4 linked regions of the Notamacropus eugenii genome follow. The protein of the gene in region 4 interacts with the protein of the main gene of each other region in a pairwise test. Links are inferred from orthologs where the notes say so. Each region holds a gene or a part of one and is shown on either strand. Other genes may lie near its edges. The genes, in order: RBM42, BOLL, ATXN1L and RBFOX2.

Evidence for each region.
Region 1: the proteins of RBFOX2 (region 4) and RBM42 interact in a two-hybrid assay, tested with the Homo sapiens proteins (2 studies listed by BioGRID and IntAct). The link is inferred for Notamacropus eugenii from reciprocal best matches to the Homo sapiens genes RBFOX2 and RBM42.
Region 2: the proteins of RBFOX2 (region 4) and BOLL interact in binary tests that used the Homo sapiens proteins (3 or more experiments, as listed by UniProt). The two-hybrid records come from large-scale screens. The link is inferred for Notamacropus eugenii from reciprocal best matches to the Homo sapiens genes RBFOX2 and BOLL.
Region 3: the proteins of RBFOX2 (region 4) and ATXN1L interact in binary tests that used the Homo sapiens proteins (3 or more experiments, as listed by UniProt). The link is inferred for Notamacropus eugenii from reciprocal best matches to the Homo sapiens genes RBFOX2 and ATXN1L.

Annotation. Positions count from the first base shown.
Region 1 is NC_092876.1:32,862,804-32,870,662, reverse strand, and holds the start of RBM42 (RNA-binding protein 42), read right to left. Parts: upstream 3,077-7,859; 5' UTR 3,062-3,076; coding exon 2,865-3,061; intron 2,646-2,864; exon of another isoform or gene 2,239-2,645; intron 2,136-2,238; coding exon 2,021-2,135; intron 1,873-2,020; exon of another isoform or gene 1,844-1,872; coding exon 1,756-1,843; exon of another isoform or gene 1,666-1,755; coding exon 1,588-1,665; exon of another isoform or gene 1,101-1,587; coding exon 1,035-1,100; exon of another isoform or gene 921-1,034; coding exon 766-920; exon of another isoform or gene 410-765; coding exon 74-409; exon of another isoform or gene 1-73. Other genes in the region: HAUS5 (HAUS augmin-like complex subunit 5), read right to left, coding at 5,656-5,767, 5,906-6,038. UniProt on the Homo sapiens protein: Binds (via the RRM domain) to the 3'-untranslated region (UTR) of CDKN1A mRNA.
Region 2 is NC_092876.1:268,130,406-268,137,596, forward strand, and holds the start of BOLL (protein boule-like), read right to left. Parts: upstream 3,166-7,191; 5' UTR 2,615-3,165; coding exon of another isoform or gene 2,543-2,614; intron 1-2,542. UniProt on the Homo sapiens protein: Probable RNA-binding protein, which may be required during spermatogenesis. May act by binding to the 3'-UTR of mRNAs and regulating their translation.
Region 3 is NC_092872.1:712,069,239-712,076,584, forward strand, and holds the start of ATXN1L (ataxin-1-like), read right to left. Parts: upstream 3,011-7,346; 5' UTR 2,860-3,010; intron 2,836-2,859; exon of another isoform or gene 2,313-2,835; intron 1,118-2,312; 5' UTR 1,050-1,117; intron 1-1,049. UniProt on the Homo sapiens protein: Chromatin-binding factor that repress Notch signaling in the absence of Notch intracellular domain by acting as a CBF1 corepressor. Binds to the HEY promoter and might assist, along with NCOR2, RBPJ-mediated repression.
Region 4 is NC_092874.1:293,145,642-293,152,652, forward strand, and holds the start of RBFOX2 (RNA binding protein fox-1 homolog 2), read right to left. Parts: upstream 3,016-7,011; 5' UTR 3,001-3,015; coding exon 2,695-3,000; intron 1-2,694. UniProt on the Homo sapiens protein: RNA-binding protein that regulates alternative splicing events by binding to 5'-UGCAUGU-3' elements. Prevents binding of U2AF2 to the 3'-splice site.

The sequences.
Region 1 (7,859 bases), on a different chromosome or scaffold from region 4:
TTTTCAAATCACCCTTGCCCTCCCTATCCCCACTCCCATGCTGCTCTCAAGGCAGTGCCTGGTCCACACTGACCTCGAGGGCCATGAGTCCTGGGGGTGGCTGGGGCTCAGGCCTGGGCCTGGGCCTGGGCCTTAGGGACAGGAGCTCAGGGATTCGAAGTGGTGGAAGCAGTCCCCGAACGACTTCCAGGGGTAGAGGCAGGGGCTCAGGCTCAGGCAACGGCATGGCCAAGGGCAGGGGGAGGCTGGGCCCAATGACTGCTGCAGCTCCTGGGCCCCCCACAGCTGCCCCTGCTTCTTCAAGCCCTGCAGCCGCAGCAGCTGCCACAGCCACAGCAGCAGCGTCTTCTTTCTCTTTCAGACCCAGGCCCAGGCCTAGGCCTAGTTCCCGAGGGGCCGGAGGCTCCTCCTGACAAAAACACAAGGAGATGAAGGTTATCAAGAGAAATAGAAGGGAACAAAGGGCCTCAGAGCCAGGGATGGGGAGGGCATGGGGAGCTGGCCCCCACCCAGGGTCAGCAGGCACTCCCAGCTCAGACTGTGGAGTACCTGAGTGGGTTCAGAGCTTGAGAGAAAAGAGACAAGAAAAAAGAAACAGATATAGAGAAAGAACAAGAAAGGAAAACATAGAGAGATGCAGAGAAACCAAAGACATCTAGGGGAGATCCAGATGATACTGTTAAAGTTGGGGGCTGGGTTCTAGGGTTTACAATAGGGATGTTTGTATCCCCAGGCATTCCCTTCTCACATGCCCTGCACACTCACTGGGGGAGGCCTCAGGGTCGCCATTGTGCCAAGTGGGGGTCCTGGTGCCCGGGCCATTGGTGGCAACATCATGGGAGGTCCAGGGGGACCAGGTAAGGGAGGCCCAACCAGGGCCTGATGTGGGGGCCGAAGAGCCATGGGGCGTGGGCCACCTGCTAAAGAGAAAGAGAAAGTGTGTGGTGAAGGGGGTCCCTGGATCTTTGAGGTGCCGGGGACGCCAAAGAGGGGATGGGGCCGGGCCAGGAACATTCCCTAGGCCCTTCTCTCACCCGCTCTCTGCAGCACATGGGGGACGAAGGCTGGGCGCAGGATGGGGGGACGCTGCGGGGGCACTGCTGAGAGACACAGACAGAGATGGAGACAGGGTGTGAAGGACCATGTTTCAGGGTCTTTGAATGAAGGCCTCAGGGGTTCAGGGGTTGAGAGGGTCCTAGGGTCACTGCTGGCACCTCTGAATCAGTCTTTTGAATCTCAGGGAGTCCTGAGATCGTTGGGAGATCTGTATGTGGGAGGAGCGGTTGGGTATCTAGGGGTTAGATGGTTTTAAAGGGCCTGACGGTATCTTTTGGGGTCCCTTGGGGTTAGGTCTCTGGAAAGGTACCATGGTTGGGAGAAATATCTCTGAAGAGGCATTGTGGAATTGTTGGGGAGTTCTAAGGGCTCAGGAAAAAATTCTGGGGGAGTCTCAGGATTTTGTGACTGTCCTGGAGGGATTTCCTGGGTAGGCTAAATATTTACTGGAGGTGGAGGTATGGGCACTAAGCGTGTGTGTATTAGGGGCAGAGAATGTTGAATTCTAGGCTTTGGGTCCTGGGCACTGACCCGCCCGGCGAAGGAACATGGCATCCCGGGCTTCAGGGCTGTCGAGACGACCTCTATCTCCTCCAGGACCAAAGCCAACTGTAGAGGAGAAGAAACTGCATTGGTGGGGGGACCTTCTGGACTATTCCTTCTTGACCCACCCTCCCTCTTACGTCCTTCCCAACTCACCAGGACCCACAAAGGGGCCAGGGGGACCTACAATGGGAGCAATTACTGTGGCTGCTGCCGCTGCTCGGGCCTCCAGGCTCTGCTGGACCTGACCAGGAGGGAGAACAAGAGAAAGTGGTCAGTGAGGGAGCTCAAATTCCCTTTTTCTTGGGAGTCTAGACTAATAGACAAGTGGAACAAAGAATAAAAGCTGGTTTGGAATTGAGGAACTAGTTGAATGGTAAGAGTCTACACATCCACCAGAAGGTACACTAGACCGCCCTACCTGCTGGTAGGTGTTGGTGGCAATGATTGGGCGGATCACAGGTGCAGGCTCCACAGCTGGTACAACTGGGGTTGGAATTCCAGATATTGGAGCCCCCAAGACTTCCTGCTCAAACCTGAGACAGAAAGAAGAAATGACTTAGACACACAGAAGAATCACTGGGTTTGGTGCCAAAAAGGATCTCAGAAGCCACCTGGTCCAACCCTCTCTCTTTGCAGGCTCGGAAGGAGACTTGGGAATGTTGAAGGACAGAGGGAGAAGTATAAGAAAGAAAAACATGGGAGTCAGACGAAGATTAAGAGACACCACGAAAGATGGAAGTAATCGGACAAAGAAAAAGTTTAGAAAAAACAGCAAGAGTGAGGCAAAAACTAAGACCAGGACGTGGACAGGGAAAGTAAAAAGAAGATAAAAAATCAGGACTACGCAGAGCCCGAGCCACCTCCGGAGGGACACGGAGACAAACACACCAACAAGAGAGAACGAGACGGAAAGATACATCCAGAGAGAAGACACGGAGCAGGGGCAGAGACGTCCAGCCTTAGGGCCGAAGGGAGTCGTCTAGAGCAGGTGAGGTCTCAGAGACGGGACCCACAGGGATGGGAGATGAAGGGAGGCGGGGACACAGGCGGCCTCACCCCCGAGGAGGGGCCAGAGGCAGCGGGCGGTGCGGGATCGCTCTTCCCAGGCCCAGCCAGAGGACCGGAGACAACGGGTAGGCCCCGCCCCCTTTCCCTGCCCCACCCCCACGAGGTCGGCCCTCCCCGCTCCCGGGCTCCCCGGCACGGAGGCAGAGGGACTGCCGGCCCGGCCTCGGGCGCGGCGGGGGGAGGGAGGGGCTCACAGCGCCATCTCCGCCTCCATCTCTTTCAGTCGCTCCTCGCCGCTCTTCCCGGGCACGCAGGGCCCTGGGCCCGAGGGCAACGCTACCCCCGCACCCGGGAGTCCCGGGGGCGGCCCTGTCCCAGCCATCGTCGTCGCCACAGCCGCTTCCGCCGTCTGTCTCTCTTTGCCGACGCACGCCGATGACGCAGAACGCATGCGCTCAAGTGGCACCAATCAGCTTCGCTTTATGCGAGTCCGGCAGGCGCGCAAGCGCAGTTGCTTCCTTGCCTCCTGAGCCAATGAGAGCGCAAGGAACCAGAGACCACGCCCCCAGCCTGCAACTTTGTTTCCATCGGCCAGTAGTGTCGGGGGAGATTTGTTTTCCTGCTGGGAGGGCGGGGGCGTTCCTGGTCTAGAGCTGGGGACTCGGGTTTAATCCCTAGCCCGCCTATAACTGGCCCGAGTGTTGCCTGGACTCCGTCAAATTCTCGCCGCTCTGGCTTTTCTACTTGGAAAGTGCAGGGGCTGCAGTGGGGAGCCCTGGGGTAGTAGAGCCTTGAAAGGCCGGTTTTCAGGAGGCGCTGGCAGGCTGGTGAGCCCGGAAAGAAAGCCTTCGTGAGTCCCCCGGAGCGAGAGGGTGCAGGCTCGGGGGGCACGGCAAGGAGCCAGTTTTAATAGGTGAACAAGGAAAGAGTGGGGGATGCATAGCTCAGTGATACGGGTTGTGAAGCCTTTTAAGATTGGGGAGATCCGAAGTGTAAGCAGATGGGAAGGGCCCGAGCACGGGGTGTAGCGCTTACGAGCTGTAAGCACGCGCCGTCCACGTCACTAAACCTCGAGCCTCAGTTACCTCATCTGTAAAATAAAGACAATACACCTCCCTCCCAGGACACGTCTGCCCAATGTGCGTTACAGAAATACTATTAGCTATCAAAACCGAAGAGGGAAGCACGAGTGGGAAAAGATGGGATGATCACCTTTGCCAGGGTATGGGAGGAAAACTCTTTCCGGGGAGCATATCCAGCTAGAAGCCGAGATGAGCCTTTTCTAGGGAGAAGTAGGAAATGCCAGGTCTAGCTGAGGCCAGAGAAGGCTCGGAGGACTCTCCTGATCCCTGGAGGTAGGCAGACTGAGACAAATGGCCTTGGGGAACAGTCCCTCCCCACTCCCAGGAGCACCCGGTTTCGTGCAGACTCCTCCAGTGGAGTGCTGCAGCTGGGCTTTACTAGAGCCTCAGAGGCAACACTGAAGGTTTGTGGGCTGGTAACTGAAGCGCCCGGATTCCTGAGGGGGGTAGAGGGAGTGGAGGCCTTTACTGCAGAGGGGGGCTTTGGGAAGGAGGCCAACAGCTTCTGCTACCACCTCTCAACCCGACCCAGAAGAGAGCCTTGGGGATCATCTGGTCCAGTCCAAGTCCTTGCCTTGCTGAGACCCCAGAAACGGGAAGTGATTTGAGTAAGGTCACATTCAACTCCTATTAACACGAACTGAGGAATAATAAAATGGATCCCAAATTTCACACTCGGAAGGAACCTCACAGACCCCCTCTTTCCTGCCTTCAAAAGGCAAAGAAACAGAGGAGACCTAGGGTCGAGATTGGATAGGAGTCAGGATAGGGCTGTGGTCCCTGATTTTTCAGCCAGGTCACTGGAATTTAGGTTTCCTGGGGAATGGGGAAAGCATATGGGGCTGGGGGGGGGGGGGGGGGGAACACAGGGGACACAGCAGCCAGCCCTTTAGTTTTCCAGGTTCATCCTGTTCCTGGCTGGGATCTGTGGGGAAGTCTAAGTACCTTGGGAGTACAAAGCTTTGACAGACAGCAAAGCGCTGAAGCACCGCATCTCAGAGGGCATGGCTCTCCAGCAGGGGCTCAGGGTCTGGCCCCTTCCCCTGCCTTGTCTCCACTCCCCAATAAATACACTGCTACTCTCCTAAGCAAGACCTTGAGGAGAAAATGGCAGCCGAGTACCCCAGGGCCTGGGGAAGCATTTCCCTTTTTTGGGAACTCTGGGGGGGACTCACTTCCATAGGGATCCAAGATCCCTGAAGCATCTCCCATTACTAAGATATACTACACATTGAAGCAGGCCCTCCTGTTCAGTCCTTGAATACTGGGAAAAAATCCAGGAAGGCTAAAATTTCATGAGAACAACCCGGTCCCCATGTGGCCCCAGGGCCACCAGGAGTAAAGATGCCACTGTATCCTCCCCAGGAAAGGGCCACCACAGCCCTGGCCAAACTTAAGGAGAGGGAGGTACCCTACACATTCTACTGCCAGTCCCTCCTCCCCAATATGTTAACATGTGCCAGGGGGAGCCAAGGGCACCCTGAGGGTGCCAGTGTGGAAACCAGCTCTTAGGTCATGGTCAGATTTTCTTCCCTTCCAAGGGGTTGGTCTCTGTCCTAAGAACCTTCACAGTGGGAGCTTCTTTCACCCTCCGCTCCCAACCCCATCATCTGGTCCACCTGGCACAGATCTGCTCCCCCTACCCCCTTCCTTAGAGGAGTATCTCAAGTCTTTGATTTCCTATCCTGCCCCAGGAAACCCTGATTGCCTCCTCTTGTTTTAACTGAGGGAACAGGCCAGACACGTCAAGGGCCAAGAGCACATGAGTTGGTCCAGGGGCACTGAAGGACTGGAGAAGTTTAAGGGTCAGAGGTTAAATGCACAGAGAAAAGCCCTGGTCCTGAAATCTCTAAGCACTTTACTGGGAGCAGGAATTTGTCACTTTAACAGTGAAAGGATGAAACCAATTCTTTTCAAGTCCAATAACTGTCTGGCTCTGTGCTTCTGCTCCAAACCTCAGCGTTCAGGCTCTTCGTCCTTGGGCCCGTGCCCAGCGAAGCTTCCACTGCTGGAGGGAGAGGCCATCCTGGTCCTGGAGCTCTTCGGGAAGTGCATTCTGCCCTGGCTGGTCCCACCTGGGGGCGAGATGGCAGGGACAGGCTAGGTCCCTGGAGGTCCTGGATCCTCCTTCCAGCCCAGGTCTGGAGCATCCCCTTCTCAGTTCTCCTCAGCCCCCACCCCGGGTCCCTCAGCACCAGGGCACCCCCTCTCACCAGTCCCCCACGGCCTTCAGTAGCTGGGGGATGTGGTCCAGTCCCTGTTCCATGAGCTCCTCGAGGCGATGCAGGATGGGCCCCAGGTGCTCTTGCTGCTTCTTCTCCTCAGATTCCTGGATCTGAAGTAGTTCTGGGGGGGGAGGGGAGGAAGCAATTCAACGTGACTCAGTGAGCATCCATTAACCCCTTCCACTGGGCAGGACCTCGTTTGGCAGTGGGATTTTCACATACACGATCCAGTCCCTACCCTCAAGGACTTTTCAGTCTAAAAGGCAGAAAAGTCTTGCAGAGAAACAAGGGAGAGTGAAAAGGTTGGAAAATAGAATAAGATGCAATGTTTTTGGAAAATTTAAGGAGGCAGATAACTTTTATCTGGGGAAACTGCTTCAGGTTTTACAAAGGAGATGGGAGCCTGGCCAAAGATGAGGAAGGACTGTCTTCTCTACAGGCAGATGGCATGGCCTGCACAAATAAATGCACAGGCACCAGCAAGTCTGGCTTGGCCATCATCATCAAATTCAACCTCCACAGAGCCAAGGAGTCCAAGGGGTCTTCTGAATCACAGCATTTCAGGTACTTCATTGTTTTGAGTTCACCTCCTCCAGATTAATCTGATTTTCATCTGCTGAGGTCTGGGCATTCAAAGTTGCACATGTGTGAAGAGCACTGCGTGGGCCATTTTTTTCCCACGAACCTTTGTGTTCTCCTTGACGCCTCCCTTTCCTTGACCTCAAACATCCCCTGGTGCTGGACCCCAGGCATTCTGCCTCTACACTATCCACACATGCATTTCTGCTGCCAAGAGCTAGCCATGTGGCAGAAGGAGGGGGTGTAGAGATCATCGAGGTGATTGGGCCTGAGGTGAAGGGGATTTCTGGCTGAGATGGCTGTCTATACTGAGGCCTACCCAACTCCTGGACACCTACTTCAGCAAAAACCTGAAATCTACTCCAGACTGAATAATGACCAAGAAATAGACTGAAAACTGCAAAAAGTGATTTCTTCCACCCCAAAACTGCACCAAAAGTCATCAGTCCACAGGCCATAGAAAAAGGGCCCATCAGCAGAGCAAGGAAGACTATACAGCCTTCTAGAACAACCAGAAAAGGGCCAGGGCCAAGGGCAGCCTGTATGGGCAGCCAGAATGAAGTGCTCCCCCCAAAAGCCCCAAACAGGAAGGGCCCTGAGAAGGGAGAATGTTGTTCAGACCAGGGTGCTGCAGGGCTCTGGGGTCCCTGGCCTGACTTGCCAAAGAGGCCTTGACGATCCAGAACTCTGGACCTTGGAAGAGCAGAGGGCTTTGGAAGGAGGTGGGGATGGGAACCCAGATAAACCAGGGTCAGACTAGGCAAGGCCGAACACTCCAGCCACAAGTACAGAGCTGTGCAGTGAGTATCCAGATTCCCACAAAGCCCCAGTTCAGGAGCTGCAGCTTTAGAGATGGAAAAAGAAAAAAGAAAACAACGAGTATCATAGATTACTACCAGTCTATAAATCTGGCCAGAAAAAAGAAAGAGTAACTCTGTTAACTGCAGGTGGAGATTCAAAGAAAAGCAATGGATTTTTCTACAGGGATGACTTGAATAATGAGAAAATGAAAAGATAAAAATAAAAGCTCTTTAAGAAAGAATAAATAGCTTAGAAGAGAAACAAGTAAATCTTACACCTGAAAACTAGAGTCCAAAGAGAAATTCATGACTCCATGAAACAGTAAAAAGTAGCAGAAGAAAATCGAAAGATTAAAAAAAGAAAATGAGGCTCTCAGACATCACAAACAGCTGGCTTGAAGAACAGATAAAGGAGAGATAACTGAAGAATCATTGTACTCTCTGAAAACCATGCTGTATTTGAAAGAAAAAAAAAAAGCCTGGACACGATATTCCAGGAAATCCTAAGTGAAAACTGCTCAGATCTATGAGAACCAGAGGGTGAAGTGAAAATATAAAGAACC
Region 2 (7,191 bases), on a different chromosome or scaffold from region 4:
CACCTACTTGACCCTGTAGCCAAATTTACATCAAGTTAAAATATAGAAAACCTGATAACTGTCCTAAATGATATTTTTACCACATTGAATAAAATACAACAAAACTTATTTTATTGTAGATGCTATTGAAATTTAAAAGAAAAAGACAGACCTTGAAAAACAAGAATAGAATGAGTACTAAAGTAGCATACTTGGGGGGAAGGGGAACTTGAAAAGTAGTTGATGTTAAGGTTACTTCTTAACTGCTGAAGAACAAATGGCTTCAAAGTGATAATTTAGTAATTATCTTCCCTCATACCTACTAAACTTCTGAGCTAAGCTTTAACACCTTCCTAGTTATAGTATCTACAGAATCTATATATAGTACATTAAAATCTTACCACTTTAAAATGAGAGGAAGACCAACCTGAATTAGAGAAGTCTGAATTATACAGTATTTAACAAGGAATGCTTTTCCATTACATACTAATATGGTAGCACCTAGCTCTAAGTTTTATCAGAATTGCTTGAGGAAATAACAATGAAAAGTTTAAATGTGTTACCTATATGAAAAGGATTGTAGAAAGGTTGCTTTGGCCATTTTTGTCAAGGTGGTTAAACACTAACTTTTGCTTATACAGAAATTTTTCTCCTTGTAGTTTGGCAGAAATTCACCTTTTGATTAATGTTTGCATACCTGACTGAAATGGGTGTAGGGATCTGCTTTATTGAAATATTACTGTTAAGTACAGTATTGTTAAGTACAGTCAACTCTGAATAGACTACCTACAGCAAACTTGTCTCTGGCTAGACCTTTCTTTAAGAGGAAGAGAGGTTTGAATAGATCAAACCCCTTTTCAGTATTACTTAACTATTCATTCAGTCCCTTTCTTACATAATTAGGCATGGTTGTTTTCTAAAACACTGTTTCCCTGGGCCGCAACTAGGATGGGGTGATGGGGATTTATCCTTGGATGCTGACATCTGGAGGTGCACTTCCTCTCTAAGGTCTTTCAGAGACCACTCTGATCTCTACTTCAGGCTTGTTCCATTTTTGATTTATTTTTTTTCTTTTGTTCATTAAAAAGGCCATTCCCTGACTACTTCTTAAAGAGGCCTATTCACTCAATGGGTGTTACCTCCCTCTAAGCGAGTACCTGAAAAGGCCAGCCTAAGAAGGCCAACATCTCCCAGTGCATCCTGGGTCATCTCTAGTCATCCTGATGAATATCTGGTCACTGGATTCAGATGGCTCTGGAGGAGAAGTGAGGCTGGTGACCTGCACAGCCCTCCCTCACTCAAAACAAAGTCAAGTGCAAGTCATGTCATCATTTCTCTGATGTTATGGTCTTCTTTGAAAAGGAAGGATGAACTCAAACTATTCGTTCCTTTTATAAGAAATGTTTTAAATATCAAATATTTCTCAGATATATAACAAACTTACCTAAATGGCATACTCTAGATCACTTTCCATAAAAACAGGAAACTTACTGACTTTCAACTAAAATAATCTACTAATTTAGTATCTATACAAATAGAATTTAAAAAAATAATATGAAGAACTGCGGAGAACAAGATGCATGTATGGTTCACTTATGTGGCTATCTGTATAACAAAAACCCCACTGCTGACTAAGAATTTTTTCTAATAAAGACAACTGAAAATTGAAAATGGAGTTCCACAGAGGTTTTTCACATACGATTCTGAAGGAGACAGTGCCATTATGTCCATCTTACAGATGCAGAGACCAAGGCTCAGACAAGTTATTTGACTTGCCAAAGATAACACATCTAGTAAATGTCTAAACCCCAAGGCTCTTAATTTCAAATACAATCCCCTGTACATCTGCTGTCTTCCTGAAAAGAGATATTCCTTAAGTTAATGGTTTAAATACAATCACCAATTTTTTCGCTGCGTTTATGCGAATGGAGAAAAGGCAATTTTTTTGAGAGAAGGCAAAAAAGGAATGGAAATGGTGTCTGATCATTCAATACTTATTCCTGAGTGTAGGGAAAGTAGAAAAACAAGCTTTATTATTTGTGAAAGGAAAAACAGAAACTGTGTCATACAATTTGTAAAATGATCAAATGTCAAAGGATGTTTAGTAACAGAAGACACACACACGACCATCTGTAAAACAAAACCTATGCAGCTGTCTCTGTAATCCACGTTAAGGCAGAGACTCTCTTATTACCAGCCTATACGCTATCCGTGATGACACTTGGTTAAAAAAAAGGCAGCTAGGTGGCACGATGGAGAAGGTGCTGGGCCTGTGGTCAAGAAGACGATCTTCCTGAGCTCAGAATCTAAGCTAAGACACTTCTTAGCTGGGCAAGTCACTTAACTCTGCCTCAGTTTCCTCGTCTGTAAAACGAGCTAGAGAGGAAAATGGCAAACCACTCTATCTCTGCCAAGAAAACCCCCAAGAGGGTAAGGGAGAGTGGGACACGGCTGAACAACAAAATGCGTGTCCGTCGCCTCCGTGCCGGCCTCAGCAGCACTCCAGAAGCGTCAGAAAACAGAGCCATCACTTATACAGAAAACTCCGTGCCATACCACGCACCTTGATGTTCGGCAGAAGCAGCTCGGCAAAAAGACTCCTATCAGTAAAGTTCTTTCCCACGGTAATGGCCATGTAGTGACTGTTTTTCTCTGAGAGTTAAATACCACGGCTTAGTTTAACCGTCAAACATGATAAGCTTTGCAAGCGGAGCTGGAAGAAGAGGCGCGCTAACGGTCACGGCCCCTGCCTCTGAGCCCGGTCCACTGCGAGGCCGGCGAGCGCGGAAACAGACGCGGCAAACACTGCCTCCAGCTGCTTGGGGTCAGCACCGGAGCGGACATAGCCTCGAGCGTCCACCCCCGCCCCAGCTGGGAGCGGGGGGGAAATTATGGTCAATGAGGTCTGGTCCACCGCTAGCCCAAACGCTGTGCTCAGCCAAAGGAAGCTCAACGGCCTCGTTCTCGCCTCGCGCCCAGCCTTCCAAGGCGCGTGCCGGGGCTGGCGAGACTAGCCTCCCTCCCGCTCACGGGGCGCGCTCATTGGCCCTCCCGCCGGCGAGGGGGCGGGGCAGAAGCCGGCCAGGCACGTTGCCTCAGGGCCGCAGCCCGGCCCCTCCCCTTCACCCCGGCCCCTCCCCTTCCCCCCCAGCCCGTCCCCTCTCTACGCCTGCGAAGCGGATCAAAGGCTAGACAGGCCCCGGAGCGCAGCCCCGGGACCCCACCTATCGTTTTCTGCGGTGGCGGGGCGACTCCACAGTCTCACGAGGGGCTTCCTCGAAGCCCAAGTTGGCCACGGCTGAGGCGGAAAAATTCCGCTTTCCTCGGAGGTTGGGTGGGCGCTGGGAAGGCGTGGTCTTCGAGACCGTGGCTTCAGCGGGAAAGGAGAGCTCACTGCCCCCGGCCTGGGGGAAGCGGCGTCGTCATCGTCTGGCCTCAGCCACCTTTCCAGTCTCCCTTCTGTCGCACGTGGCCTGAGCCGCCGCCCCTCCCCAGAAACGTTCGGCCCCATCTGAGCGCCCCCCCACGCCAGGCCGCCTTCCTTCCTCGCCTCCGCTCCGACCCCGCCCCGGTCCCATACGAGCCCGGTTGCCCTGCTCTCGAGGCTTCCCATCCGCGCCGCGACGCCCGGCCCGCGGCGGTGGCGGCGGCGTTAGAGGCCGTAACCTAGCCTCCGGAGGGCGGGGCGAGGGAGCCCTTCCTTGGGGAAGCTGTTGACCCAGCCCGGCACCCCAACCCCAAAACGGAATCCCCGAGCCCCCGCGCACCCAACAAGCGTAGAAGGGGAAGGCGGCGGCTGAGGCGGCCTGGCCCGCCCCGGGATCCCGTCCTCTCTCACTCACCGCTCCCGAATCCGTCTCCATCTTCCTTGGGCTCCCTTCGGGAAAAAAAAAAAGTTTTAAAGTGTAAAAAAAAAACCAACTAAAAAAAACCGGACCACGAAACCTTCAAATAAATGGAGCAGAACCACGTTTCCCGACGAGAGAAACTTTTTTCTTCCCACCCCCCCCACCCCCGCCCCGCTCGCGGCTGTGGCTGCAGAGGTGGCGGCTCCGACGCGGGGGCGTGAACCTGCCACACTCGGGATCCAGCCGAAGTCCCCTGTCTCCGCCGGGGGCGGGGGAGTGGGAGTGGGGAAGGTGGTGCGGGCGGGCCCTTTAACCAAGGGAGGGGGCGCTGCGGGAGACTCCCGGGCCCTTGGCAGGGTGCGGTGGCTGGCGCGGGCGGGCGGATTCCCAGTAATCTGAAATGGGGCAGGTGCAAGGGAAGGGAGAGAATGGAGTGAATCCTCCTGTAAGGGGAGAGTGGCGAGGAAGAGGGAGGGGGAAAGTGATCTACGTCCAGGACTGGGCAAACTTCAAAGCAGTACGTAAATACCTGTTTTACCCATTTTTTCTTTGACTAACATGACCACGAAGTGGCTAAAGCTGCTGAGGTTCGGGGAGGGGTTCAGCTGGGGGTCCGGCTGGGGGTCCAGGGCGTCTAGTCCTCAGCCGCTCGCTTTATCCTGGTTTCGGAGGGTAGGAAGCTAAGGGGGCGTGGTCAGGAGACTTTAACTCTTGGCCCTTTTGAGAGGCTTAGACAAGGTCTTTCCTTGTAATTCGTTAGTTTAGAAACATTGTTTCCTCGCTATGTTTTTTTTTAAAGAGGAGCTCTTTAAAGGAGCAGCAGACCAGTTGGGGAGAGGCTGGCGGAAGGTGGCGAGCGCAGCCTCCCCGGGCCGCCCTGGACAGCTCCCCCACCCTCCGCCTGTTGCCGCTGTCACTCATCGCCGGGAAGGGGAGCAGAGGGCAGGCTCTGGGAACACGGCCCTGCGTGCCCCGCTGCTCGCCCCCCGCTTGGCTTGGGAGCCGCTCAGACACAGGAGCTTGGAGATCACTCACCTGGAGGCTCGGCGACCACTCTAGCCCACTCCACCTTCCTGGGAAGGACGGGCTCCAGGTCCTTGGCCCCTGGCCCTCGGCGCTCCAAGTCCCCTCTCTGTGTGCCTGGGTCCTCTCTCTACTACTGTACTCTGGTGTCAGTTCACCAGCAAGCCCATAACTGCTGATCCTAGCCTGGCTGAGCCACACACCTCCAGGAATAGTATCCCCTATTAGCCTATTCCCTATAATAAGCATGATTTTATAGTTTGGGGAGAATTGTTGTCATAGGAAACACTACTCCAGGTCTCATTGGGAAGGAAAACTTGGTGTAGTTTGTTCCAGACGTAGGCTGAGGCTCACACTTCAAGAACAATTTTTAAAAATAAAAATCAAGAATCAAGAAGCTGCAGGTTTTAACCAAGAAAAGAGGAATAGAGAAAATTATTTTACAGTAATAATTCTGCACACTACTACAATGGGTTTTACTTCTAAGGTAGAGGATTAAAATAAAACCAACAAAAGTGCCTATATTAATTTTAACACATTCAAAGATCACCATCAAGGTGATCTTAACTTTACTAGCTATGAATATAATGAGAAGCATACTTTTAATCCTTCGGTTGTATTTCATCTTTTCTAGATTGCCCATGCTATTTAAACCCAAATTTTCTTGTTTTAATCCTCACACTAAAGGAGAATGTTATTCTTTTAATCTTAAAAGCCATGTTCTAGAATTGAGGAATTATGTTTCAGTTTTCCAGTAACTCTATGCTATACTTCTAATTATTTCTCCAGGAGTGGTGATGGGCTTATATTGAATAACCAAAACTCTCTTTCCTTGTTCACACTTTCTACTAAGCACACATATTTACAAGACCACTCTCACCAAAGTTAGTTAGAAATGCAGGGTCTGGTTCAAAGGACAGAGGGAAGATGTCTTCCAGAGAGATGGAGCACATGAGCATGTTAGAGATGCCTTATATTCAATCAAGTTCATCAGTTGTAGCTTAACATTCTTGTTATTATCCACTTCTATACTGCCTCTCTTACAGGTGAATAATTCCAATTCTTCAACCTTTAAATCCATCACTCACCTTTAGATATCTAATTTAGCTTTCCTAAAATAACACTAAACTGCTTACCAGGACAAGCACATCTCACCTAATGTCATTAATTTCTGAAATGCTATGGCAAAATAATACCAAAGGAGGTAGTTAATTCCATGGGAACAATATTATAAATGGGTGATCATGATCTAAATATAACAGGGTTTTATGACTTTCTAATAGGGTTTTAGTATAATATGGTAAGGATATTAGTGGAAAGAGAGGGAACATGAGTAGTGGATAGAAAAGCTAGCCTTAGAATCAGGACTAATTGGGTTCAAATCCCATTTCTGACACATGTGGAATCTTGGGGAAGTCACTTAGCTTCTCAACGTCCCAGGGAACTCTCAAGTCTATAAATTATTGTTCTGCACTAATGGAGGGAATTTCTTCAGAGGAGCTTTCTCTATCAATGTAATTAGTTACAGATCCAACGCCTGGGGAAAAAAATTGGAAAATGATTTTGGATTAGTTCAGTGCCTGTATTCATCTCTCCTCTGTTTTCATCCTGTTCCTCCCTTATCCAAAAGTCTTCAATGGTATGGTGTTAACTGGAGAATTAAGATCAGACTCCTTGGCCTGGGATTCAAAGCCTCGGGGTGATTTCCTGACCCCATCATAGCTTAATAGCTTTACCTTCTACCATTCTCTAATAGAACTTGAACTGCTGGTCAAGAGACCTGAATTTGCCCAGTTCTACCACTAATTTACTTTGGATTCCTGGACAAGTCACAAGCAGAGGGATTCAGTTATACATAAAAAGAGGGAATTGGACTGATCACTTCCTAAACTAGATGGGACAACAAAAGGTCTCTGCCCTCCTAGGGCATAGTGAATGTAAATAGTAACTAGTAACTATTTCTCTTTTGGCCAGTAACCCTGAGGGTCTTCCCCTCCCCAGCTTGATTTTCTTTTCTTTTTTTCAATCACTTCTTAAAGAGGCCTATTCACTGAATGGGTGTTTCCTCACTCAAAGTGAGAACCTGAAAAGACCCAGGGTCTCCCATTGCATTCTGGCCCGTTTCCAGTCAGTCTGATGTATTTCAGACCACCGGACCCAGATGGCTCTGGAGGAGAAAGTGAGGCTGGTGACCTTGCACAGCCTTCCCTCACTCCAAACAAAGTCAAGTGCAAGTCATATCATCATTTTGTCATGGTCCTCTTCCAAAAGGAAGGACAAGCACAAGCAGCTCCCTTTTTAACTCCAAATCCTAGCATAAACTGAACCTTTATAGTTCTCA
Region 3 (7,346 bases), on a different chromosome or scaffold from region 4:
CATAAATAATCCGTGGGCACCACTCCTCTGAGGAGACCCACAGCTTCATTAGTCACATCTCTGATGATGACCTTGATTGTTCACAGCTCTCAGATTGCCCTTCTGTGAGGACTTAAACACAGAATCTTCCTGCTGACCCTCTTTCCTTAAATCTCTCTCCTTTCTGCTATCATAGATGAATGTGTCATCTCCCTCTCTTGATTCTATGATCTCATCCTCACTTCCTCTCCTTTCTCTTATTTGGTTTATGACTTCACCTATCCCCACCCCTGCCTGGCTAAACTCTCCGGCCTTGGATCACTCACCCCACTGTTACCACTCCCTAAGTCTTCTAGCCTTCTTGTCTCATTGTCACCTTTTTCCCCCTTATCCAAAAGTTCCCGAGTTAACTTTCAAATGCCATCAACTTGGTTCTAAAAAACTGTCATTCCCCATTATGACTCAGAGCAACTCAAGCCCCCATATTCAAGTAATTGGTTCCATATTTAACTTATATTTGCTTCTCTTCATCCTCAAAAGGTGGCCCAATCTGCCCTCTGGGCTAAAAGAATCTCTAGTTCCTGTTCAGGTAAGAGCAATTTTTTCCTTCTGCTTGACTACCCTCCCTCCCCAATTCTGGGTCAGCAATACCTCATCACTGTTTTCTTGATTCTCTTTCCTCTCCTTTTTCCCTTTTTTCTTCATGATGTTGTCAATGGTTCCTTTTCCTTGGAACTTTCAAATATGTTGTTGTAAGCTCACTTCCTAAAATACTAATCCCCCTTTAGAATCATAGGCCTATTTCACTGGACAATGTAGGTATTAAAAAAAAGCTTTCTTTTTTCCCCTTTCTTCCTTAATCACCTTTCACAAGCATTTCTGGCCACCATCAATCAGAATCTTTTTTTTGGCTCAGAGGCCCTTCTTATGAAGTTTGCTACCTATTCCTTCCAATAAATCTTCAGCCTTCAGGACATATCCTTAAGGATGAGGAGAGGTTTAATACCAGGCTCTCCTACACCCCAGATGCTATTCTGCAAGGAACCCAAAGAGATGTCCATGTTTATTACCTGAACTTCCAGCAATGCTTCTGGGCAACTGGAATATGAAGCAGTCTCCTCCCGACTGGCGTGGTAGCCTGGAAAAAGGAAACAGGATAGGAGAAAAGAATGAATAGCACACTTTCATTTCTGACCCTTCCAAGTACCATCAGAGAACAAACAGGTAATAGGAGAGATACAAAAAGTAAATTCTGCAGGTCTTTTAAGCAGAGTAGTACGGCAACTAGACAGTACAGGTGCACAATCTGTTTAAAAAAAGTTACTTTTTAATCTTATGTAATTTAAGGATCCTAATACAAATCAGGAATCTCATTTCACTGTCTCTCCAATGTGACAGGCTTTTTGGTTCTTTCTGCTCAGACCTTTCACTATCTTCTTACAGTTTTAATTTATATCCAATATAAATATTCAGCTGGATCCAATAATTAATAGAAAAGCTTGTCTAGGCCCATGACCAAGTAAAAAGACAAGATCAATTTCATGACTTCACCTTTGCTCTGAGGTGTGGAAAGCTAAAGCATGGAGGTCGTTTGAATAAGAGAAGCACCAGGGAAAAGAACTATTAATATTTCTGGGGCAGAAAAGGAGGTCAAGAGGGAGTCAAGTCACTCAAGAGGAAGCTTTATTAAGATTTCCAACAAAAAAACATTGGATACCAACCAGTCAGCCAATGTCATTTGCTAAATGCCAGCTTTGTACAAAACACAATATCAGGTGCTAAAGAAACAAACTGCAGTGCCAATCCTCAAGGAATTTACAATCTACTAACTGAAGGAAGCCAAGAAGCACACACCCATTAAACTAGAAACACACCAATCTAAAAGGCCCACAGATGCCAAGTACAGGACAACGGACCGATAAAGCAGGGGAAATACTATGAGAAGCTGCTGACTACTTTTCAGTACATCCAAGTCTAGGAGTGAAAGACATCAAAAAGACATGTCATCTCAGGTCCAAACCGTCCTGGAAACGGAAGGCTTGTGCAGAAGCAGCCATAAACACGGCATTAAGCCAGAATTCTTAAGGAAAATGGACTTAAAGGATAAAGTAACCATGCAAATTCCTGGTCACATAAATACAAATTTCCTACTGGAAAGAGTCACGCACATCCTTTCTATTCTTGAGGCACAGTCAGTTCTGGCTCATTCAACAACGCCGTGCCATGTTATGCCCACAGGGGCGAACCATGCCCCCGATCTCTGAAGAATTCAAGAAAACCACCCACTCTACCCCCCCTCTCTGTCCCTGAATGCCGAGCAAAGGGCTGAATACCGAAAGGAAGGGGGATGCAACAGAGCTGACGGAACAGCAGCAGCGGACCAAATCGGGATACCTATCGGACGCTCCAGCACGTATCGATCACTGATCGGAGTCACAAACGCCTTGCTTGGGATGTGGCTCCGGAAGAAGCGGCTCCAGATGGGACTCGAGGGGAAGGCGAAGGGGGAGCTCGGGGCTCCCCGCTAAGCCCCGACGCGGGGGGAGCGCTGACCTCCAGGGCAGCGGCTCGGCCGGTCCTACTGCCCGAGGCCTCTGCCCCGGGCACCCAGAAGGGCTCCCAGCCAGGGCCGCGGGTTCACAGACTACGGGGCGGGGGATGGGTTTAAATTTCCGGAGGAGGCAGAGTCACAAGAGGAACCTCGAAGGGAGGGCGCCCGCTTCCTCGTTTGGGGGTCACGGAGCGGGAGGAGGGTGGGGCCTACGGGGGTGTGGGGGGATGAGGGTCAGCTAGGGGGGCGCCTCCCGCCGAGGGGGCAGCCAGAATGGGGGACCCCCTCCAACCCTGGCCAGAGCTGCGGCCACTCGCGGCGAGACTCACCGGCCCATCTCACGGCGCTTTCTCGGCTCCTCCCGCCGGTGTCAGGGCCGTGGCCTGAGGAGCTGCCGCCGCCGCCGCCGCCGCCGCCGCCGCCATCCCCGGCCCCGGAGCCGCCCCACACCCAGCGCCCAGCGCCCAGCGCCCCCAGCCTGGCGCCTGGAGATAGCGTCACCGCATCCTGCCCCCGGCGCCCGGAGATGGCGTCACAGCGGCGGGCGGGGGGACCGCGGGGAAGAGCGGCGGGCCAGACGCACCGCCAGCTGGCCGAACCCCGGCGACGGCCGCCGCAGCCGCGGCGCCCGGGAGCGGCTCGGGTCACGTGGCCGCCTTGCCCCGCCCCTTTCCTCCAGGTGACCCTGACCTCGCCTTGACCCCACCCCTTTCCAGAGCGCACGAGGACCCCAGCCTGGGCCGTCCCGGAGTCTTTGTTTGGGACATCCCAGCCCGATGTGCAAGTCCAGGAGGCACCCCCTGCTTGTCGCATCAACGCCTTCTGCTGTGGGAGCGAAAATCACATCGATGACGGCGGAGTCTCCATCCCTGGGAGAACACCTGTCTGCCCCTCCCTTGTACGTGTGGCTTCCCTCAAGGGTGGAGACGTGTACTTTTGTTACTTTTGATACTTTGTATCCCCTAATTTAACGCGGTTTAAGACGCAGTAATCCTCTGATACATGTTTTCCACCCATTCATTTATCATTCATCCCTTCATCCATCCGTCCAACCCTCCATCCATTTCAAACTGTCTGAAAGTGGTAATTCAGTACAGTGGATACAATACTTTTACACTTGGAAATAAGGACATCCATTCAAATTCCACCTCAGACACTTGGCTTCCAGCAACTCCCCAAAGCTATATGTATATTTATAGCATACTTCTCTAGTCCTCCTTCCCCAACCTGGGCTTGTATTTCCTAAACTGCTTTCCCCCAGGCAACAGACTGCTTCTCAGAGTTCTGGAGGCAAACCTGAGAAGCTGGATTTCTAGAATGGTTATTCATGAGCCCCCACCAGTGTGGTCTCTATTTACTATCAAGGAGTTGACACCATCAACTTGAAAAAGAAAGAAAGACTACAAGTGTAATAAGAACAGTTGGAAATCCTCTCCAAAGCCCTTGGGGTACAAGCACCTAGCAAAATATATGAAACCCATAGGGAGAGTGGACTAGAACTTAAAGTCCAACGATAATGAACAAACATATATAATCAATGTAGCAAAGGGGTACATGTCAATCCTGGTCCTAAAAGTCCCTTTCTTGTTTCATTGGAGCCCTCTGTAAGTTCCTCTTAGGTCTAGCTTTCTAATGGACCCAAAAGATTAGGGTCTTTCTAGAGTCCAAGTTAACATTTCTATCTGCCATGACAGATAGAATGCTTCCTGACAATGATGCCATTCACAGATGATTTATCTTTCTATATCTGTCTGCACCCATGTCCATTGCTGTGGGCCACTACTCTAGTGGCCACTGCTACTACTGCTGTTCTACTACAACTTCTAATGGGCCTTCTAATGAGTACTCTATATCTCGTGATCTTACAAGATCTTACACTTTCATTTCAGAATATTCATTTGACCAAGATCAAGAAAGAATAAAAACCAAGAAACAGAGGAGGCCATGTGCTCATAGCTGCCATATACAGATAGGAAACAAGCTTTCTGCTCTTCCTTCATCTGGTTCTTGTGACCAACTTTAGGTAGTCCTTTATGGCAGCAGAGAAAATAAGAGAGATGAATGTATACCCACTCAGTATCAACTGAACTTCATCTGAGTCATCTGTTTTTCTTGACAGCTAGACAACCAACTAGATGGCTTTTCACCATCTCCTAACATAAGCTCCTCAGTCATACATGGCAAGAAATTAAGTTCTGGTTTCACAGATTGAAACCCCTGTGGGCACTTGGATTGCAATCAGATGGGAAATATCTGCATATGCTCTAAGAACTGGCCCTTTTAAGCCAGTTCACCCATGTTACAAATCAAAGAGGGTTTGCAATTTGTGCACTCAATGAAATTGCAGGTCCTTGGTGTACGTTCAAGGTACACAATATCTCACAGAACTGAAAGGGACCTCAGAGGCTCAGTGTCTAACCCGTACTGAAACAGGAGTTCCTTCTCCAGTAAGGGATTCATTGGTGCAGTTGCTTCCAGTTTTCAAAAACTTCCAATGTACAGAAGATTTTTCTTCAAAAATTCAACAAACATTTTTACTTAGTGCCTATTATGTGCAAAGTACCATGTTCAGTGCTACAAAGCCAAAAGCCAAATAGTCCTTGCACTCAAGTTGCTTATCTACTCAGGGAATATATGTACAAAGTCATTTCAGATGTGAAAAATGCTAATAACTGGTGAGGAGAGGGGAGTGATAATTAAGATTTTTGAGATAGCTAGATCTGTGCTTTAGGAATATTAATTTGGCAACTATTTGGAGGATGGGTTGGAAAAGAGAGGAACTAAGTCAGGAAACCAATTAAAAAGCTATTACAATAGTCAAACAGCTGTGAATGGAGAAAAGGAGGTGGATGTTATAGATGATGGTCTATGAGATGTAGCAATTGCTTGGATATGGCTGATAAGGGAGAGGGAAGAATCAAAATGACTCTAAGATTGAAAATCTGGATGACTAGAAGGAGGAGGATAGACAATTTTTTCTACTGTCTTTGTAACCCTAGCACCTAGCAAGTACCTTGCACATAGCTAATGCTTAATAAATGCTCAGTGAATTGCATGGAATTGAATTGAATTGCTGGTTGTATCATCAGGAGAAATGTGGAGGAGGAATGTATATAGGGAGAGATGTAATGAATTCTATTTTGGGCTGAGTTTGAGACTGTGAATCAAAGATTCAATTTGTTTTCTTTAATCCCAGAGGACAGAAGCAAGAACAAAGGGTGGAATTAACAAAGATGTAAATTAAGGCATAATGTCAAGAAAAACTTTTTTTTAATTTTAATTAATTTATTTTTTTGTTTTCAATATTCACCTCCTTAAGATTTTGAGTTTCAAATTTCCCCCCCTTTTTTCTCCTCCCCCCTCCCCAAGACAGCATACAATATGATATAGCTCTACTTATACATTCATATTAAACATATTTTCACATGAGTCACAATGTAAAGAAGAATTAGAGCTAATGAGAGGAACCATGAGAAAAAAGAAACAAGACAACAAAAGAAAAAGAGAGCAAATAGTATGCTTCTATATGCATTCAGACTCCAAAGTTCTTTCTCTGGATATGGATAACATTTTCCATCATGTATCTCTTGGAGTTGTCTTACATCCTTGCATTGCTGAAAAGAGATAAGTCGTAGCACAATGTGTCTTACGGTGTACAATGTTCTCCTGGTTTCATTCATTTCATTCTGCATCAGTTCATATATGTCTTTCCAGGTTTTTCTGAAATCAGCCTGCTCATCATTTCTTATAGCACAATAGTATTCCATTATATTCATATACTACAACTTCTTCAGCCATTCCTCGACTGATGGACATCCCCTCAATTTCCAATTCTTGGCTACCACCAAAAAAGCTGTTATACTTTTGTACATGTGGATCCTTTTCCTTTTTTTTTTTAATAAAATCTTTGGAATACAGACCTAGAAGTGGTATTGCTGGGTCAAAGAGTATGCATAGTTTTATAGCTCTTTGTTCATAGTTCAAATGGTTCTCCAGAATGACTGGATCAGTTCACAACTCCACCAGCAATGCATTAGTGTTCCAGTTTTCCCACATCTTCTCTAGCATTTATCAACTTCCTGTTTTGTCATGTTAGCTAATCTGATAGGTATATGTGATATCTTAGAGTTGTTTTGATTTGTATTTCTGTAGTAAATAGTGATTTAGAGCATTTTTCATATGATTATAGATAGGTTTAACTTCTTCCTCTGAAAACTGCCTGTTCATATCCCTTCAACACATCAATTGGGGAATGACTTGTATTCTCATAAATTTGATTCTGTTCTCTATATATTTTAGAAATGAGGCATTTATCAGAGACACTGGTTATAAAAATACTTTCCTAGTTTTCTACTTCCCTCCTAATCTTGGTTTCATTGGCTTTGTGCAAAACTTTTCAATTTAATGTAATCAAAATTGTCCATATTGCTTTTCATAATGTTCTCTATCTCTTATTTGGTCACAAATTCTTCCATGCTCCATAAATATGACTGGTTAACTATTCCTTGCTCTCCTAGTTTGCTTATACTATCAGCCTTTATATCTAAATCATGCACTGATTTTGACTTTATTTTGATATACAGTATAAGATATTGGTCTATGACTACTTTCTGGCACATTATTTTCCAGTTTCACAGCAGTTTTTGTCAAATAATGACCTCTTATCCCAGAAGCTGGAGTCTTTGGATTTATCAAACAGTAGATTACTATAGTCACTGACTACTGTGTCTTGTATCCCTAACCTATTCCACTTATCCACCACTCTTATTTCTTAGCCAGTACCAAGTAGTTTTGATGATTTCTGCTTTATACTACA
Region 4 (7,011 bases):
ATAAACTGCTAAATCTACTTCCTCTCCTGCATCCCCCCAAAGTCCCAGAACACCAGGACTCAACAACTTTAAGATCTTCAGTCAGTCTTAAGAGAGATCATTCCATGAGGTTAAGGAAGAAAAAAAAACAATCTCAAGAGACCAAAGGAACTGTGTCCTACAGAAACTAACTGTCAAGCACCCCTGTCAAAGTTCCAAGCCTTCAGCATACAGCTTTCACACCAACGATGGGACACCTCAGCTTCTAGGTCTGAGAGGCCACTGCTTTCTTTCTAGTTTGCTTCCAGGATCCTAGATTATGGCTCCCTGTAGTATTTCTCCCTGCTAAAGTAAAAAGTCTGAGCAAAACAGGCAGACCAAGCAAAAGAATCCTGTAAGAAAAAATGCCCTCAATGTGGGGGGACAACTGGGACCCCATGGCACAGTAGGTAAACAAATGGGTCATCTCCCTTAAATCAACACATAACGGGACAAAACTACCTTCTAGAGAACAGATTTTGTCTTTTAAGAAGAGCAAAGAATCCTACAGAAAAGTACCATGCATGGGCACAGCAATTTCTGTGGCTCAGGAAGCCCGTAAGGGCTCTGAAAATCAGGAAACAAAGCTGAGAAGGCATTCAAGGTCTGCCCAGACTTCTAAGGCACCCTGGTCAGTTTGAACAACTTCTGGTTGCACAAGCAGGGTGAATACCACAGTGAGCAGCACCCCTCACCTCTCACACTAAATAAGGCTTTTCCAGGCTGAGACCATGCCCCTCTCCCCAACCACGAAGTGCTCTGGCTCTGACCTCAGACCATGTACCACAGACCAAACACCACACTCCCCATTCTTTCCACCCCTAATTTCTCATCTCAGAATCCTGAAGGTCCAGAAAACTTCCTTTCAGGCTTGAAGACAAGGAAGTAGGAAAGGAGTCTGTGAGAAGCCTGGCTGTTCATCCAAGGGATGCACCAAGCCTGGCACAGGAGGGATGCTTGTTGGCTTCAGTCTCAGCAGACATGCTGTTCCAAGTTAAGGAGGCTCAGCGAGCTGTGACCACAGTACCAAACTCTGCTGTTGCTAAAAGTCCCACAACTGATTTAACCCACAGCCTAAGCCACATCCCCTTTCTACTCTCTCTAGGAGTAGATTCTCCATCCCTCTCTTCTCTTGTCTAACTTCCTTGAGTCCACCTCCTCCATTTGTAGACCTTCTGGCCCAGAGTACTCAGGCCCTTATAGTCACAACAGCCCCTCCTTCTCGTCCTCTTCTGCTTGGTTCATCTGCTTGTTCCCAAACAACATATCCAAGCTTATTCCCATTCCTTTCTCCTCAAGAAGAGAGGAAAGAGATGGCCAAAGGGAGTCTCAACCCCACCAGAGTCATTCTCTCCTATCTTTCATTCTTCAGTATCTCTACGATCCACTAGTTGCCACCCATATTCACACACCCATACAGGGCTCTCTCTCTCTCTAGCCCTCAACACCCCCTTCTTCAGATCAGGTCCCTTTATACAAAATGAGAATTCCCCTTCAACTCCCTTTCCAAAACTAAATAACCCACCCAAAATTAAGGGCTCCTCATCCACTCACCTGCAAAACTGAGTTCCCCACCACCAAATTAAGAACTCCCTCCCAATGTTCCACTATGTCACTTCCCCCAAAATGAACTGCCCTCAAAAAAGCATTTCCCAAAAGTTGAGCACACTACCTCCAAAAGACCCCTCTTCAAAAATGAGGACCACCAAAACCAAACATTTCCCCCTTCCAAAAATAGCTATTTCTTCTAAAAACCTTGGTCTCTGTCCAAAACTAGACATTCCCATCACCAAACAAGGTATCACCATCATAATTCCCCCGAAACAAGTGACTCCCAAATCTAGCAAAGCCCTCCTTCCAAACTTCAAAATCTGTGTGCTCCACCTCCAAAACAAGGTGTCCTCCCTTTTCTCAAAACCAGATGTTCCCTTCTCCAAAAAGTTATCTTTCCAAAAAGGATGTTCCGCGAAATGAGTGTCTCTCAAAGCTAATGTCAGATTCCCCAACACTAGCATTCCCTACATGATTTGGGAACCCCAGTTTCTATTTCCCCAAAATCAGGTGTTCCTAACAAACCAGGTATTCCCTAAATGTCTTGCTTCCCCAAAACTAGCATTCCCCCCAAAATCTAAAGATTCTTATTTTCAAACCAGGTGATTCTTTCCCCAAGCCAGAAGTCCCTCTATGCAAAAATAAATGCCCCTCTTCCTAAGCTCCAAAGCTACCTTGCCTTCCAAATAGCTGAGTAACCGGCTTCCAAACCAAATGTCCCTGTCCCTGTTCAACCACGTGCCCCCCCTTCCCTAAACCAGGTATCCTTTTAAAATCAGGGTATACCCATCCCCGAACAGAATGCTCTTCCCGATGAGTGTCTTCAAAGGCAAGCATCTCCTTACCCAAAGCGGTTGCCCCTCCAAAATCTAAGCACGCCCCAAACCAAGTATCCCTCCCCCTAACTAGATGCCCCCTGTCAAGGTGGATGTCCTGCTCCCCCTATCCAGATGCCCCCTGCCAGGTGTCCCGCTCCCCCCCCCCCCCGCCAGATGCCCTGCCTCCCGCCAGGTGTCCCCCCTCCTCCCCGCTCCAGATGCCCCTCCCCCGCAGGTGTCCCGCTCCCCCATTCCGGCGCCCACCGGCCCCGCCCCCCTCGAGCGTGCCCCGCCCCGTCCCTCTCACCTGCATGCCGCTGCCTCCCGCTCCGCCTCCCGTTCCTGTTCCCGCTCCGGCTCCCGCTGCGGCCGCTGTCCCCTCGTCGGGCCGAACCTGGGCCGGCGCCCCCGCGCCCTCCGCCCCCTCGTCGGTGCGCTGCCGCTTGCCCGGGCCGGGGTCGGCGGGGCCGGGGCCCGCGGGCGGCGGGGGAGGCGGAGGCGGCGGCTCCAGCTCGGACTCCCGCTTGACGCCCCGCGCGGGGCCGGGCTGCGCGGGGGGCTGGGGGGGCGGCGGCGGCGGCGGCCGCGGCTGAGCCTGGGCCCCTTCCGCCATCCGCCCGCCCGCCGGCCCCGCCTCGCCCACTCCGCCGCTCCGGGCCACGCGCGACAGGCCGCCGCCTCTCGCGCCCTCACACACGCTGGCCGCGCCGCGCCCCGCCACCGGCCGCGCGACAGTCGCGACTCACGGGCTCCCGGCGGCCCCGCCCCCCGCGCGCGCGAGCGACTCCCCGAGGCGGGCGCACACTCCTCCACGCGGGCGGGGGCACGTGCGCGTGCGCGTGCGCGACGGGCCGGCCTTTGGCGCGCTCGCCTCGCTCGGCCGGGCTCCCCTCGCCTGGCTCCTGGAAGCCTCGCTCTCGGTCTGGGCCTCGCTCTCGGGCGGCTCGCGACGGGGACAGAGCGCGCACGCGCCCCCGCGGCTGCTGGCGCGCGCGCGCACGAGGCCTTCCCCCCCCCCACCGCTTGGCCGGCCAGCCTCCCGCGCGCTCGGTTTGTCACACACGCAAACCCTCGCCGCCTGAGAGCCAGACACAGACACACCTCTCGAGGGCTCCAGACCGGAGGAAAGGAGTGGGGCGGGTCCGAGATCCCCGGGGGGCGGATGTTTATTTGGGGGAGGGGTCCGGGACCCGGAGCGAGCTGACTGGCCGGGAGCTGCGGAGCCGCCTTCGCAGCAGCCCGGCAGGGGCGGGCCCGAGGGGAGGGGGCGGGGCCCGTTCCCTTCGGCAATCTCCGTCGCCTCCGGTCAGTGGGGCCAGATCGAGCCCGACCGGCGCGATAGGGAAGGAATCGGCAAGTTTCGGGAATCTCCGGGAGGCGAGGAGGGCTAGGGCAAAGGGAAGGGGGCGGCAGAACGGATCCCGAGGGGAGGGGCGGAGAGGAGGCGGAGGCAGAGGCGGCCGGCGAAAGGGGTGGGCGTGGCCTGCCGCCTTTGGGGGCGGGACCTGCTTTTCAGGGGCGGGGTCACAGGTCTAAGGCGAGCCACTCGACAAAGAAAAGGGGCGGGTCCTGTCAGGGCCCCACCCCCAGGTTGAAGCTTATACAATCAGGGGTCTAACTCGGCCCAACCTTTTCATTTGCTGAGACTTCCCCAAGGTCACACTACGTAGCAAGCCGCAGTGCTGGGATTTGAACCCTCCGTTAATTAGATTCAATTTGTCCCGTCTCTATCATACCTACCTGGCCCTGCTAATAGAGCACTGGTTTTGGAGTCAGAACGATCTGAGTTCTCAGACATTTACTTGCCCCGCGATCCTGGACAAGTCACTTATTCTTAGTTCTCTCAACTGTAAAATGAGGATAATAATCCCCAGGTTTGTTGTGAGGATCAAATGAGATAATGCCTATAAAGCACTTAGCCCAGTGCCTGCCACGTAGTAGGCGATTAATAAATGCTTGTTGACATGACTTGAACCCAAGTCCTTTGTCTCCAAACACAACCCTCATGCCATTATGCTGGAGTTGGTGGGAGGTGGAGGCAAGGGGCAGGGAGGAATCTTCAAATCTGGGGAGGTGAAAGGGTGAGCCTGTTCTACCTTGGGCACAGTCTGATGTTCGCCTAGGAATGGAAAGGAGTGTGGAGGTGCCGGTTACTTCTCTCGGAAGGTGGAGGGGCGTGGCCTATTAGCCTGGAACAAGACTTTCTTTGCCAGGCTGGAGAGGTGGCTGGGCGGGAAGTACTTATCTCTGCAGTGAGAGTGGTGGGCTGGGAGCCAAAGAGAAGGGGGAGGAGTTGGGCGCCCCGCCCCCCCTCAGGTGACCCTTGTCTTAGGCTCAGTGGATGCAAACCATTATGACTCAAATTCACCCATCTGGGGCCAAGGGAAGCTGTGCCTGAGTAGAAAGGTTTGTGGGTGTAGGAGGGAGATTGGCGGGACTCTCCCTCTCCCGTTCTGCTTGCAAAAAAAAAAAAAAATCTCCTTGCAATAATAATAGCTTGTGTTTTTATATAGTACCTACTACGTGCTAAAATGCTTTACCATGATTTGATCCTCCCAGCAACCTTAAAAGGTAGGTGCTATTATTATATTTTACAGATGAGGCAGACGGGTTAAGTGGCTCACTTAAGGTTACACTGCTAGTAAGTGTCTGAGGCCAAATTTGAGCTCAGGGCTTCCTGACTCCAGACGCTGCACATCCCAGTCCAAACCCTGAGACAGTTCTCTTGGTCCATTTGTTCATTCCATGAGCATTTATTAATTGTCTGCTCCTTGTGTGCAAAGCTCTATGGGGATCCAATGAAAAAACAGTCCCTGCTAGCAAAGCCTGTACATTCTCCAGTGGCGGGCAGGGAGCTAGCCTTGGGTTTCATTTGACTTGTGATGTTGTGGGGCCCATAATTTTTCCTGCTCAAAGCATAGGGGGAAAGAGGGTCCTACAGTGACAGGATATAGATTTAGAGCTGAAAAGGATCTTAGAGGTCATCTAGTCTGACTCTCCCCTTCCCCTCCTTTACAGGAGAGGAAATTGGGCCCCAAAGAGATTAAGTTACATTGAATGGCAGAGCCAGACTTGAAACTCAAATCCTCTAACCCCAAATGCAGCCATCGTTCCCTTTTACTGTCCTGCCTTTCCTTCCCTCTTTTACCCCTACCTCTTAGCAGTCCCAGGTTAGAAGGTCCAAGTCTCTCCTGCCTCGAGCCTGGAGGGGACTGGGGTAGAGTTCCGAACCAGGAACCAAGTGAACCAAGCAAAGCCAACTGATGGGAACAGCTTTGGCTTCAGGGTCAAAGGGCCTGATCTTCAAAATCTAGCTCTACCACTGCCTGGGTGATCTTGGGCAAATCCCTTCCCTCTTGTGGTCACAGTTGCCTCCCCCATAAAATGAGAGCATTGGAAACGCTGCTCTTCTCATGAATTGTCTATTTAAAGTAGTAGGCAGATTCCTCCAGGGCAGCCTATCCAGACTGGGAAAGTTGGAACCCCCTTCCAACAAATGAGTGCTGACCTGGCTTTGAGGTGGCAGCTGGGATAAGCCAAAGGTCACCTGGAAGCATGGTGATTTTCTGAAAACTTCCACCCCCTACCTCTCAGGACAATGTCTGGGGCCAGGTCTGCCCAGTGGCCTTCTAGGTCCTTTGTTTTAGCTATCCATGTTAATCCAGAGCCCCTCTGAAAAGCAGAGATAAGTATTGGAGGAATGCTTGCAGAGGCAGAACAAAGAGAAATCAGACCCTGCTGGATAAACAGACATGTGGAATACCTGTGAGCACCAGTGAGGTGGGGGAGGGGGACCATGAAGATAGAGATGGCTGATGGGAAGGACCCCAGCCCAACCAACACAGTCACCACTAGCAAACTCTAGTATGAGCCTAGGAAGCACAATGCCCTCTGAGCAGTGGGAAGTGGGAGCGGGAGGGGCAAGTAATCTCAGTGTGAAATAGAGACTGGAAGGGAGAGGAGGGAGATGCTGGCTGGGGAAAGGGAGGAAATGACCATTCCTTGAGTGCTGGGTTTCTTCACCTTGTATGTATCCTGGATGCCTTTAGCAGTCTGGCAAAGCCTGTGGACTCTTTCTCAGAATCCTGTTTTTAGATAATTGAAGGAAATGCTACATTTCAGTTAGGTTAGTAGAAGATGTCATTTTTCCCCAGACAAATTCACAAGCCCCTAGAAACTTTCCACAGACCTGTAGATCCCAGGTTAAGAGGGGAAGGGGAGAGGAAAGAGATAAGCACGTATCCAGAACCTACTGTGTGCCAGGCACCACACTAAGCACTTTTTACAAACATCTCATTGGATTCCCTGCTGGAACATAAGGAAGTCATGTTTTAACTCCAAAATGCATGTGATTCCCAACACATGAAACCAAGAGCCAGTCTCAGTTGGGTGCCTAGAAGCACCAAGAGGTGTCTAAGAAGTCACTGCTGCTCCTTGCTGCTGAAACCCAATGCCCCAGACCCAGAGTCAGGAAGCAAACTGTGACTTTGAGCCCGGGAACCACCCAGATCCGGGACCCCTGCTCCATGAAGTCACCTCCTTGCAGGAAAAACAACCATAGGCCCCAGCCCAGGAGAAAGGGGCGTGGGTGGGGGCAGTGATTCAGATCTGCCCCCAGGGTCCC